Linked DNA regions of Rattus norvegicus. The protein of the gene in region 3 interacts with the protein of the main gene of each other region in a pairwise test. Links are inferred from orthologs where the notes say so. Each region holds a gene or a part of one and is shown on either strand. Other genes may lie near its edges.

Region 1 (2,723 bases), about 37 Mb from region 3:
CATTCATTGAAACCTCAGCCAAGACCCGACAGGTATGCTAGAGACTTGAGCAAGTGTGAGTGTCTGTTTAAAGCAGAGATGTGTGACTGGTCACGTGTGGTAGAGATGTAATCTGTGTTAGTTATGATGAGTTTTGGGGGTAGTGGTTTCTGTATGGTTGGTCTTTGTTTCTTGTTGATCTTTTCCCCTCGTCCCCCAACCCTGCTCCCCTAAACAAAAGGAGCACTACCGTACTGTGGGATTTCTTTCTTTCTTTTTTTTTTTTTTAAGATTTATGTATTTATTATATGTAAGCACACTGTCGCTGTCTTCAGACACACCAGAAGAGGGCATCAGATACCATTACAGACGGTTGTGAGCCACCATGTGGTTGCTGGGAATTGAACTCAGGACCTCTGGAAGAGCAGTCAGTGCTCTCAACCTCTGAGCCATCTCTGCAGCCCTACTGTGGGATTTCTAGTTCTGCCTTAACAGGCTCAACTATTCCAAGATTAAACAAACTTGTCAAGCGTGAATCCTTTTTTCCATCAACACTTGCCACTACTGAGGAAGGAACTTTACTGGAGGGACTTCTCATAATTGGCAGTTCTGTACTCTTTCCCCACCTTGTCCTTTTCTCTTTGTTGGACTATCTTTGCTTTTTATAAAAAACATGGCAGTTATCAGCCCGTCAGTGGGGTCCTCTAGGTGTGCTGGGTTTAGTGTCTTCCTGAGTCCCCCAGTTAATGAGCTGTTGAGTAGTATCAAATCCACATAGAGAGGTGGAAATGAGAGCTTACAAGTTGGACTGTCCAGTGTTTGTTTGTTTTGTTCTTCTTTACCCTTTTTCTTTTAACAGGGTGTGGAGGATGCCTTTTACACGCTTGTAAGGGAGATACGCCAGTACCGGATGAAGAAGCTCAACAGCAGTGAGGATGGCACTCAAGGCTGTATGGGGCTGCCCTGTGTGGTGATGTAGTAAGGTGAGTGTGTGCTCCTGTCCTAACTATCTCCTGCTTAGCACTAGGCAGCTCAGAATAGTGTGAACACTACTGACTCTTGCAATTGAAGTGAGAGTTTTCATATATTTGCAACTAGAAAATAGCTTTACTGGTACGTAGCTCAGTAGCTAGGAGTACCTCCTGCTCTTTTAGAAGATGTGATTCATGTACCAGCGTCCATGTTAGGTGGCTAATTTTCCTCATTGTACCCTGTCAGGGAGTGTTAGCATCTAATTCTTTCAGCATGTCTTCTACAGACAGCTTCCTATTTTGAGTATTAGGAATTTTAGACCTGCATGTGCCATGTTTGTGGAGTGGACACATTGAAGACACCATACTAAGGATTGACACTATAGAAACTAAATGACATGGTGTTCTTTTGTTCTAGACCCTTTAAAAGTTCTGTCATCAGAAACGAGCCACTTTCAAGGTAGGACAAGTTCGAAATGTCCTGACTGACACTGAGTTTTTTGCTCTTGTTTCTCTTACCTTCTGTCTCTGTTTCAGCCTCACTGATGCCCTGGTTCTGACATCCCTGGAGGAGACGTGTTTCTGCTGCTCTCTGCATCTCAGAGAAGCTCCTGCTTCCTGCTTCCCCAACTTAGTTACTGAGCACAGCCATCTAACCTGAGACCTCTTCAGAATAACTACCTCCTCACTCGGCTGTCCGACCAGAGAAATGAACCTGTTTCTCCCCAGTAGTTCTCTGCCCTGGGTTTCCCCTAGAAACAAACACACCTGCCAGCTGGCTTTGTCCTCCGAAAAGCAGTTTACATTGATGCAGAGAACCAAACTATAGACAAGCAATTCTGTTGTCAACAGTTTCTTAAGCTCTAAGGTAACAATTGCTGGTGATTTCCCCCTTTGCCCCCAACTGTTGAACTTGGCCTTGTTAGTTTTGGGGGAAATGTCAAAAATTAATCTCTTCCCGAGAATAGAATTAGTGTTGCTGATTGCCTGATTTGCAATGTGATCAGCTATATTCTATAAGCTGGCGTCTGCTCTGTATTCATAAATGCAAACATGAGTACTGACGTAAGTGCATCCCTAGTCTTCTCAGCTGCATGCAATTAAATCCAACGTTCACAACAAAGTGCCTTGTCCTAACAGTGCTCTGTAGGCTTCCGTTATAGTTCGTATTGAAATAGATGTTTCAAGAACCATTGTATAGGAAAGTGACTATGAGCCATCTACCTTGGAGGGAAAGGTGAATCTACCTGATGGCAGATGCTTTATATATGTACACATATGTACACAAAGACAGTTTCCCTGTTTGCGGTTCTCCCAGGAGAAAGAGGGAACTGAAACGATTATGACTAATTTCATTTAATTCTAGCTAATCTTTTTTTTTTTTTTTTGGAGGGGGGGAGTAGGTTACCACCTATAAATATTTGTAATTTCTTCTAGCTTACTGATAATCTAATAGTCAATGAGCTTCCATTATAATAAATTGGTTCATACCAGGAAGCCCTCCATTTATAGTTAGTCAGATACTGTAAAAATTGGCATGTTATTACTTTATACCTGTGATTAATGATTCTTCAAACCTTAAATATAGTTATTAGCAGGCAGGTTATATCTTTGCTGCATAGTTTCTTCATGGAAAAAAAAAATATATATATATATGGAGAGAGTGGCCCTCAGTTCCCATCTCACCATCCCTCTCTTTCAGCCTAGATCAGTTCAAGCATCCTATAGGAGCTTGAATAATTATCTCAGTTGAACAAACCATGGTGCTAATGG
Region 2 (3,654 bases), on a different chromosome or scaffold from region 3:
CGTCCCCAGTACTGGGGATCAACCCAGCGCCTTACACATGCTGAGTATGTACTCCACCACTGAGAGCCCTAACCCAGGAGTTAGTCTTGAACATGCAGATTTCCGGGCTAGGGGTATATATAGAGTTCAATATTAGAAGCAGTATTTGCCTAGCATGTGTGAGGCTCCATGTTCAGTCCCCAGCACCACAAAAATATTTATATGCATATAAATATAGCATATGGGGCTGGTGAAATGGCTCAGTGGTTAAGAGCACTGACTGCTCTTCCAGAGGTCCTGAGTTCAAATCCCAGCACCCACATGGTGGCTCACAACCATCTGTAATGAGATGATACCCTCTTCTGGTGTGTCTAAGACAGCTACAGTGTACTCATATATATTAAATAAATCTTAAAAAAAAATAAATATAGCATAGTTCCTAGACCCCACCCAGGACTTAGGAGATTCCAGCACTCAGAGGATATCAGCATTTGTTGCTGTATGGTCCCTAAGTGGTTCTAAAACACAGCATCACTGAGTAAGAAGAGAGTTTGCAATTGACCATTAAGACCATAAGCTCCCATGTCGACTTATACCAGACCAAGCTATACTGAGCCCTGGAGACAGAGAAAGAGTAGGGGCCCATAACCTGTGTGCTGGCTGATCTTCATTGTCAACTTGACTGGACTTGGAGCCACATGGGAGACACACCTCTGGGGATGTCTGTGCTGTGTTTCCAGAGATTTAACTAAAGAGGAGAGACCCACTGAATGGGAGACCACTACCCTAGGGTTGAGGTTCCAGACTATTTTGAAAATGAAAAAAGCAGCCGGACACTGGCATTCCCTTTCCTCTGTCCAGATGTGAGCAAGCAGCCTCAAATTATCACCATGCCTGCCCCCGTGGAGGAGTATGCCCCCAAACTGGGAACCAGCAGAAGTCTTTCCTTCCTTCAGTTGCTTCTTGTCAGTTAGTTGATCATAGTGGTAAGGAAAGTAACGACTACACCTTGATTCCAAGAAACATCCAGGCAAGGACAGATCCAGACAAGTGCCTTCCTTTCTTTCCTTACTCATTCAGTGACCTACTTATGCCAGTCCCTTATGAAGGGGTTAAGGACAGACGGTCCCCATCACTGGGCACTGATTGAACACATGCTGTACACGAATTACTATACTGGGCTTCAACTGGGCAGAGCAAATGAGACCTGGTCCTTGCCTTGGAGGAAGTTCCAGTTCAGACAGGAAAGAAGCCAGGGCTAAAAACCAGTGGCAGAGGACTGTGTCCTGGATGACAGTGCCTGAAGCCCTGGGAAGTCCTCATTGAGGAGGTGGCAGGCAGCCTTTGAGGTAGTTCTTTAGGGATGAGGATCAGCTGGCCAGGTGAATGGAGAGACTGCATGAGAATCAGCAGGATGAAGCGAGAACCAGAGCAGCAGCAGCAGAGGGAACATTGAGCACAGGGGTGACGTGACAAGCAAGTCTAGCCAGATTTCATGGGCTGTGGTCCAGTGAGGAAAGGAGAGCCATTGAAGTCCACGAACACAGAAGGAATGGGACAGGAGGCTTTGGAGGCTCATCCTGATGGCCAGAAAGGAGGCAGGAAGGGCTGAGCTCACACTTACCCAGATCCGCCTCTCAACCTTACAGGGCTTCCATGAGAGGCTCGTACACCTGACCTTAGGGCAAACCCGACGGCTCCTGGGTGGGACGGTGGCTCCAGCTGGGGCCTGCTCCAGCCACAGAAACCCAAGAAGGGAGAGGGAGGGAGATGTCAGATGCCCTTTTCACCTTAAGAGACTAGGAGTTGTTACCAGGCCCCTAGCAGAGTCCTGGGACAGCTATGCCTGTGCTGGTGGGGAGGGGGGGAGGGGGAGTCAGAGACGGGGAAGGAGTGTCTGTTACTCGGTGAAGGAGCAATGGCCTCCTTCCAGCTCTCCCATCCCAGTCTCCAGCACATGGGGATCCCAGTTTCTTTACCCCACAACTCTAGCCTCATCTGTGACTGTATCCCCAGAAGCCTCCCCAGAGCGGGGTACAGGTCACTTCTGCATAGGCTGGAGGACAGAGAAATCCCACAGACACAGTTGTGGACATATAGACAACAAATACAAAAGCGAACACAAGCACCAGCTCTAGTAAGTCAGAGCCCAGAGAGATGTGTGTCTGGGGAGCAAAAGAGAGGGAGCATCTAGGGCCAGGCAGAGGTAAGGGGTCAGTAGGGCAGGCAGGTGTACAGGTAGAGAGGGAGCATGGAGGGCCAGGCAGAAGTAAAAGGTCAGTACAGCAGGCAGAGAGGGAGCAAGACAGCTTCATAGAGTCACAGAGTGCAGAACGGTCAGCCCTCACCTCCTTCCTTGTGCTGTCCTCAGTGCCACTGATGCAGGGGACTTGAGCTCAGAGGGTGCTTAGTCTGACCTGGCTCCCTCCCTGACGATTCTTGTTCTTTCTTCTAGCTTCCTACAATTGCCTCCCACCTGAGAACCCAAGGCTGCTCCCAATATCTGACTGTGGCCCTCAACTGCTCTGATAGCCTCCGAAAAATCAACTGCTCTGAGAGCCTCCGAAAAGAACCTATTCCTCCAGCTGGACTTTGAGACCCTTCCTGACCTGACCCTGATGACCTCAGAGGACGTCTCTCCAATGCCACTTCCTCCATGGTAAGCCTTCCAACCAGGCCAGACTCCAGCTATTAGGTGAACACATTTGCAAACATACACATCCCTCTTCCCGGCCTCTGCTCATGTAGCTCCTCCTACCAGCGCCAGCTTCCTCACTGAGTCCACTAACCAACTCTCTGCTGCAGGCTCCTCCAACAACTTAAGATTGTGAGACCTAAGGAGTCACTTCCAGTCCTTAGACCTCAGCTTCCCCATCTGTAAAGTGGGACTAATAGCACCAACTGCTACCAACCCCCAGTCCTTGGAGGATGAAATGACATAACCATGCCATGTGCTTAGCATAGTGCCTGGCCCTCCGCAGGAGGATATACCCAGGGGGGTTTTCTGTCTTCTCTGCTTCTTCCCAGTAGACTCTCTCTCCAGGTGAGAGAGGACTCAGCCGTTCCACAGGCGGAAGCAGCAGTTTAGAGTCTGGAGTCTGTCAGGTGGGGGCCCATGTTGGGCCTCAGGCAACTCTTCAAACCCTCACTTCCACCAGTCTCTAAGCATTCTCACTTTTACAGCCTAAATGCCTGTGCTCCTCAGCCTGTCAGTCAGCAAGGCTTAGTCCACACCCACATCCTGTTGCCTGGAGACTGGCCCCACCTCCTAGATGGTCCCTGGGTATTCACACTTAACCCCTTACTGTTTGCTCCCTACCCACCAGCCCACCGGCCTTTTGTGTTTGTTTTTGAGACAGGGTCTGGCTCTATGGCCTAGGCTGACCCCAGACTTTTAATAGGCCTGTCTCAGCGTCCCAAGTGCTGGGATTATAAGCACACGCTGGTTTGCAGACCAGCTCTTTGAAAATACAAGTCTGGCAGCTCGGTAAAGGTGCCTTTAATCCTGGGAAGCAGAGGCAGGAGAATCTCCAAATACCAGGTCAGCCAGAGCTACACAGAGAAAAACTCTGTCTCAGACAAACCAAACCAAACCAAAACCAACAACCCAACAACAACAACGACAACTGTCTGGAACTGTGAGGATGGCTCAGTTAGTGGGCACAAAACCCAACT
Region 3 (3,654 bases):
AACTTTTGACAGCTTTTTATTCAAAATACATAGTAGACATATTTTAATTTTACATGACAAATATGTATGTGTATTATAGGCATGTGTGTATAATATACTATTGTCTTTCATCATAATATCTAAAATTATAGTGATACTGGTTGTTGTCAGACCTAAGAGAGACCCCGGATTTTTTGGGTGCTATAAGACATTTTAAGAGGATAGATAATTTCAAATAGAAAAATGAAATTTTTGTATAATTAGTCTGGACCGTCAAATACTTCACCTTGAAACTCAAGTGTTCAGAAGTGGGTTGTTGTTGTTGTTGCTATTGCTGTTGTTGTTGGCAGTGGTGTAGACGTGGGTGTTTTGTGTTTTATCTAAGTTATACATCAACTGATCTTAAAATACACTAGTTAAAATTCTTCAGGACAGGTCACTGTACCAAAGCTTGTGATTTCATTCTCATGGTTCTTTATTCAGACGCCATTAAACTGCAGCTGGTTGAAGCAGGTTTGGTCGAGTGCCTCCTAGAGATTGTTCAGCAGAAGGTGGACAGTACCAAAGAGGATGACCTTGCTGAGCTCAAAACTGCTTCAGACCTCATGGTTTTATTACTTCTTGGAGGTGAGTCTTGACTGCTGCCGACCAAAGGACATGGTCAGCAGGTATTTTAGACCTACTGTGCCTTTCGTAAACAACACTAGGCCTCTCCTTACTTTCCTGTCCTGTTTACTGTTACTGCAATGGTTTTTTTTTTCTTCTTTTCTTCTTTTTCTTTTTTCTTTTTTTTTTTTCGGAGCTGGGGACCGAACCCAGGGCCTTGTGCTTGCTAGGCAAGTGCTCTACCGCTGAGCTAAATCCCCAACCCTTACTGCAATGGTTTTGAAACCTTGTACACACCATGAAAAGTTAAGTCCCTGCTGTCTTCAGTACCTGAAGACCTGTCATGAGCACTGAAGGCAGGCTGGCCCTTGGAAACTTGGGCTACACAATTCATAAACTTCAGTGTCTAAATGCTACTAATAACCAATTACGAGATGTCTACTTTCCCCGTTGGATATCCACGTGGGAACATGGGTTTGTCACTCCTAATCATAGTTCCTTATTTAACGATTTGTTTCATTTCCCTGCAGATGAATCCATGCAGAAACTTTTTGAAGGAGGAAAAGGCAGTGTGTTCCAAAGGGTGCTCTCTTGGATTCCATCGAATAGCCAGCAGCTGCAGCTTGCTGGGGCATTGGCCATTGCAAATTTTGCCAGGAATGGTATGCACATTAGTTACTCCATGTGGATGAGACGTTCTGCATTTCTTAAGTGTCTGCTTATCTGTCACATCAACAGTGCTGCGTTCAGAAATGTCTACGTGTTGTTTCCTCAGTCCTTTAGAAGTCTTTACTGACTTACTAATATATGACATATTTTGTATAGCAATCTGAATTCTGATGTAGAAAGATCCGTGATCGTGTGGTGGTTTTGAATACTCGGTGCTTCAGGTTTAGGGACCTTGAGCATATCCATCTAGTGGGATCCTTCCCCAGTTACGTTATCTTGGCTGTAATAATCTGAGTATTCACTTTTGTGTTATTGCGTTATTTCCTTACATCTGTACTTACATATCAATAATCCTGTGGGTGTGCAGTATTTAGTTTAATAATCTTTCAAAGGCACTGGACCTTGTGAAATCTGATACTCTTGATAGCTAATCTCAGAACTCTTACTATGTCTAGAAAATATGGACTGTGTTTCTAGTTCAATTTGATTCCACTGTAAACTATTCATATATCACAGGTTGAGTGCCCCTTAGTCCAATATGCTTGAGACGTAAAGTGTTAGATTTTCTCAGGTTTCGGAATATTTATATAGGCATTAGGCAGTGTCTTGGCCAGAAGGCCAGCTCCCAAACATGAAATGTATCAGTTTCCTGTACAGTTGATGCATGTATCCTAAAATTCGTTTAGATGGTATTTTTAGTGCATCCTCACTGTGACTGGTTGACCACATAAATTCAGTTTCAGGTTCTACTCCCAGGGTCATATTTGTCATTACCCGAATATTTCAGACTTAAGGTTTTGCTTCAGGAACGTTTGACCTTACAGACGATCATGGCTGACTTACTTTGTCTTCCCTTCTCTTTAGAAGAACAATAGTTCTTTGGTAAAGGCCTGGTGTGGGTCAGTGGAGAGTGTAAAAGAGTTAGTGCCATAGGATACTTAGACACTTTTTTTTAACGAAGGAGGAAATTTGCCTTTGTTTTGCGTAGATGGGAATTGTATTCATATGGTAGACAATGGGATTGTAGAAAAACTCATGGATTTGCTGGACAGACACGTAGAAGACGGGAACGTGACGGTACAGCATGCAGCACTGAGCGCCCTCAGGAACCTAGCCATTCCAGGTAAGCAGCAGCATTTGTGTGGCTCATGGACCTCCCTGGCAGCACAAGGGGGAGAGCCTGCTGTGTGGTACCTGCCTTTAGTCCCAGCCCTTGGAAGGCAGAGTGGTTGAATGGTCAGTCTTATGTAATTAGTGAGTTCCAGGATTGCCGGGGCCACGTGGGTGTCTTAAAGGGAGAGGAGGGGCTAGGAAGAGTCTTTAAATTACTCATCTTGTTCCTGGCTAAGAAATGGAGACCATATGTTAAAATGTGTTTTCTGCGACAATACAAACCGATCTCATAAGACAGCTAGAAGAATTTATCACGTTTATGAGCGCCTCGATTTTCTTTAATGACATGCGTAAACATTCTTAGATATGTTCAGGTGAAGTCAGATATGACATATATGAACAGAGTCCACTAAAGAATCAGTATAAAGGTCGGGGGCTCTTTTTTGATTTTTTTTTTCATCCCATAAGCAGATACATAGTTTTGAAAAGGGCCTTGATGTATCTTTGGATCAACAGTTTTGAGCCATGGGGAAAACCATGCAGATGATTGCTGTTTAATTCTTTTATTCCCCTGTCGAAACTTAAACTTCTGACAAATCAGTGTAGTGACAGGAAGCCCCAATTGAAATGGTTCTGATTTGTTTGCATATCATCAGCGTCTAATAATGTCTGTCACATTTGTATTAGTACAGTTGACTCAAATACGGCAATAAAGAAAAGCACTAGAGTGAGTGCATGAGTATTTTACAAAATGTAAACATTTTCAGATTTATTTTACACATTTTCTAATTAAATGCTTTAAAATTGTGTTTAAAAAACCTAGAATGAATTATGACTGCTATGTTCCTGTAAACAGGATACTTACTTGCATATACCCAATCTCATGTTTTATTTGTGCCCCACACACACCTTGGGCAGGGGAGTTGAGACAGGCTGTATCCCAAGTTAGTCTCAAATTCAATATGTAGATTATAAGGACCTTGAATTTCTGATTCTCTTGCCTCAACATCCCACGTTCTAACTGCTGGCATAACCCAACATGCCCAACAGCCCCACCCTTAGCATTTCCAAATAGAAGTTATAAAATGGGGCCTTAACGCCAGTAAGTACCAGATGTGTGTTGAATGAATGTTCCTCGAGAGTGTTAACACCATTTTAACCATAGTCTCTTTTTCTTTCTAGTTGTAAATAAAGCAAAGATGTTATCAGCCGGGGTCACAGAGACGGTTTTGAAGTTCCTTAAATCTGAAATGCCCCCAGTTCAGTTCAAACTCCTGGGAACGCTAA

The links.
Region 1: the proteins of Rap1gds1 (region 3) and Nras interact in binary tests that used the Homo sapiens proteins (3 or more experiments, as listed by UniProt). The link is inferred for Rattus norvegicus from reciprocal best matches to the Homo sapiens genes RAP1GDS1 and NRAS.
Region 2: the proteins of Rap1gds1 (region 3) and Plekhb1 interact in binary tests that used the Homo sapiens proteins (3 or more experiments, as listed by UniProt). The two-hybrid records come from large-scale screens. The link is inferred for Rattus norvegicus from reciprocal best matches to the Homo sapiens genes RAP1GDS1 and PLEKHB1.

The regions. Positions count from the first base shown.
Region 1 is NC_086020.1:193,277,034-193,279,756, forward strand, and holds the end of Nras (GTPase NRas), read left to right. Parts: coding exon 1-32; intron 33-838; coding exon 839-958; 3' UTR 959-962; intron 963-1,368; 3' UTR 1,369-1,410; intron 1,411-1,487; 3' UTR 1,488-2,073; downstream 2,074-2,723. UniProt on the Homo sapiens protein: Ras proteins bind GDP/GTP and possess intrinsic GTPase activity.
Region 2 is NC_086019.1:164,415,126-164,418,779, forward strand, and holds part of Plekhb1 (pleckstrin homology domain-containing family B member 1), read right to left. Parts: exon of another isoform or gene 2,576-3,654; coding exon of another isoform or gene 2,435-2,575; intron 1,709-2,434; coding exon 1,604-1,708; coding exon of another isoform or gene 1,337-1,603; exon of another isoform or gene 1-1,336. Other genes in the region: Rab6a (ras-related protein Rab-6A), read left to right, coding at 2,435-2,575.
Region 3 is NC_086020.1:230,192,985-230,196,638, reverse strand, and holds part of Rap1gds1 (rap1 GTPase-GDP dissociation stimulator 1), read left to right. Parts: intron 1-462; coding exon 463-606; intron 607-1,115; coding exon 1,116-1,247; intron 1,248-2,242; coding exon 2,243-2,377; intron 2,378-3,549; coding exon 3,550-3,654. UniProt on the Homo sapiens protein: Acts as a GEF (guanine nucleotide exchange factor) for the Rho family of small GTP-binding proteins (G proteins) that stimulates the dissociation of GDP to enable subsequent binding of GTP.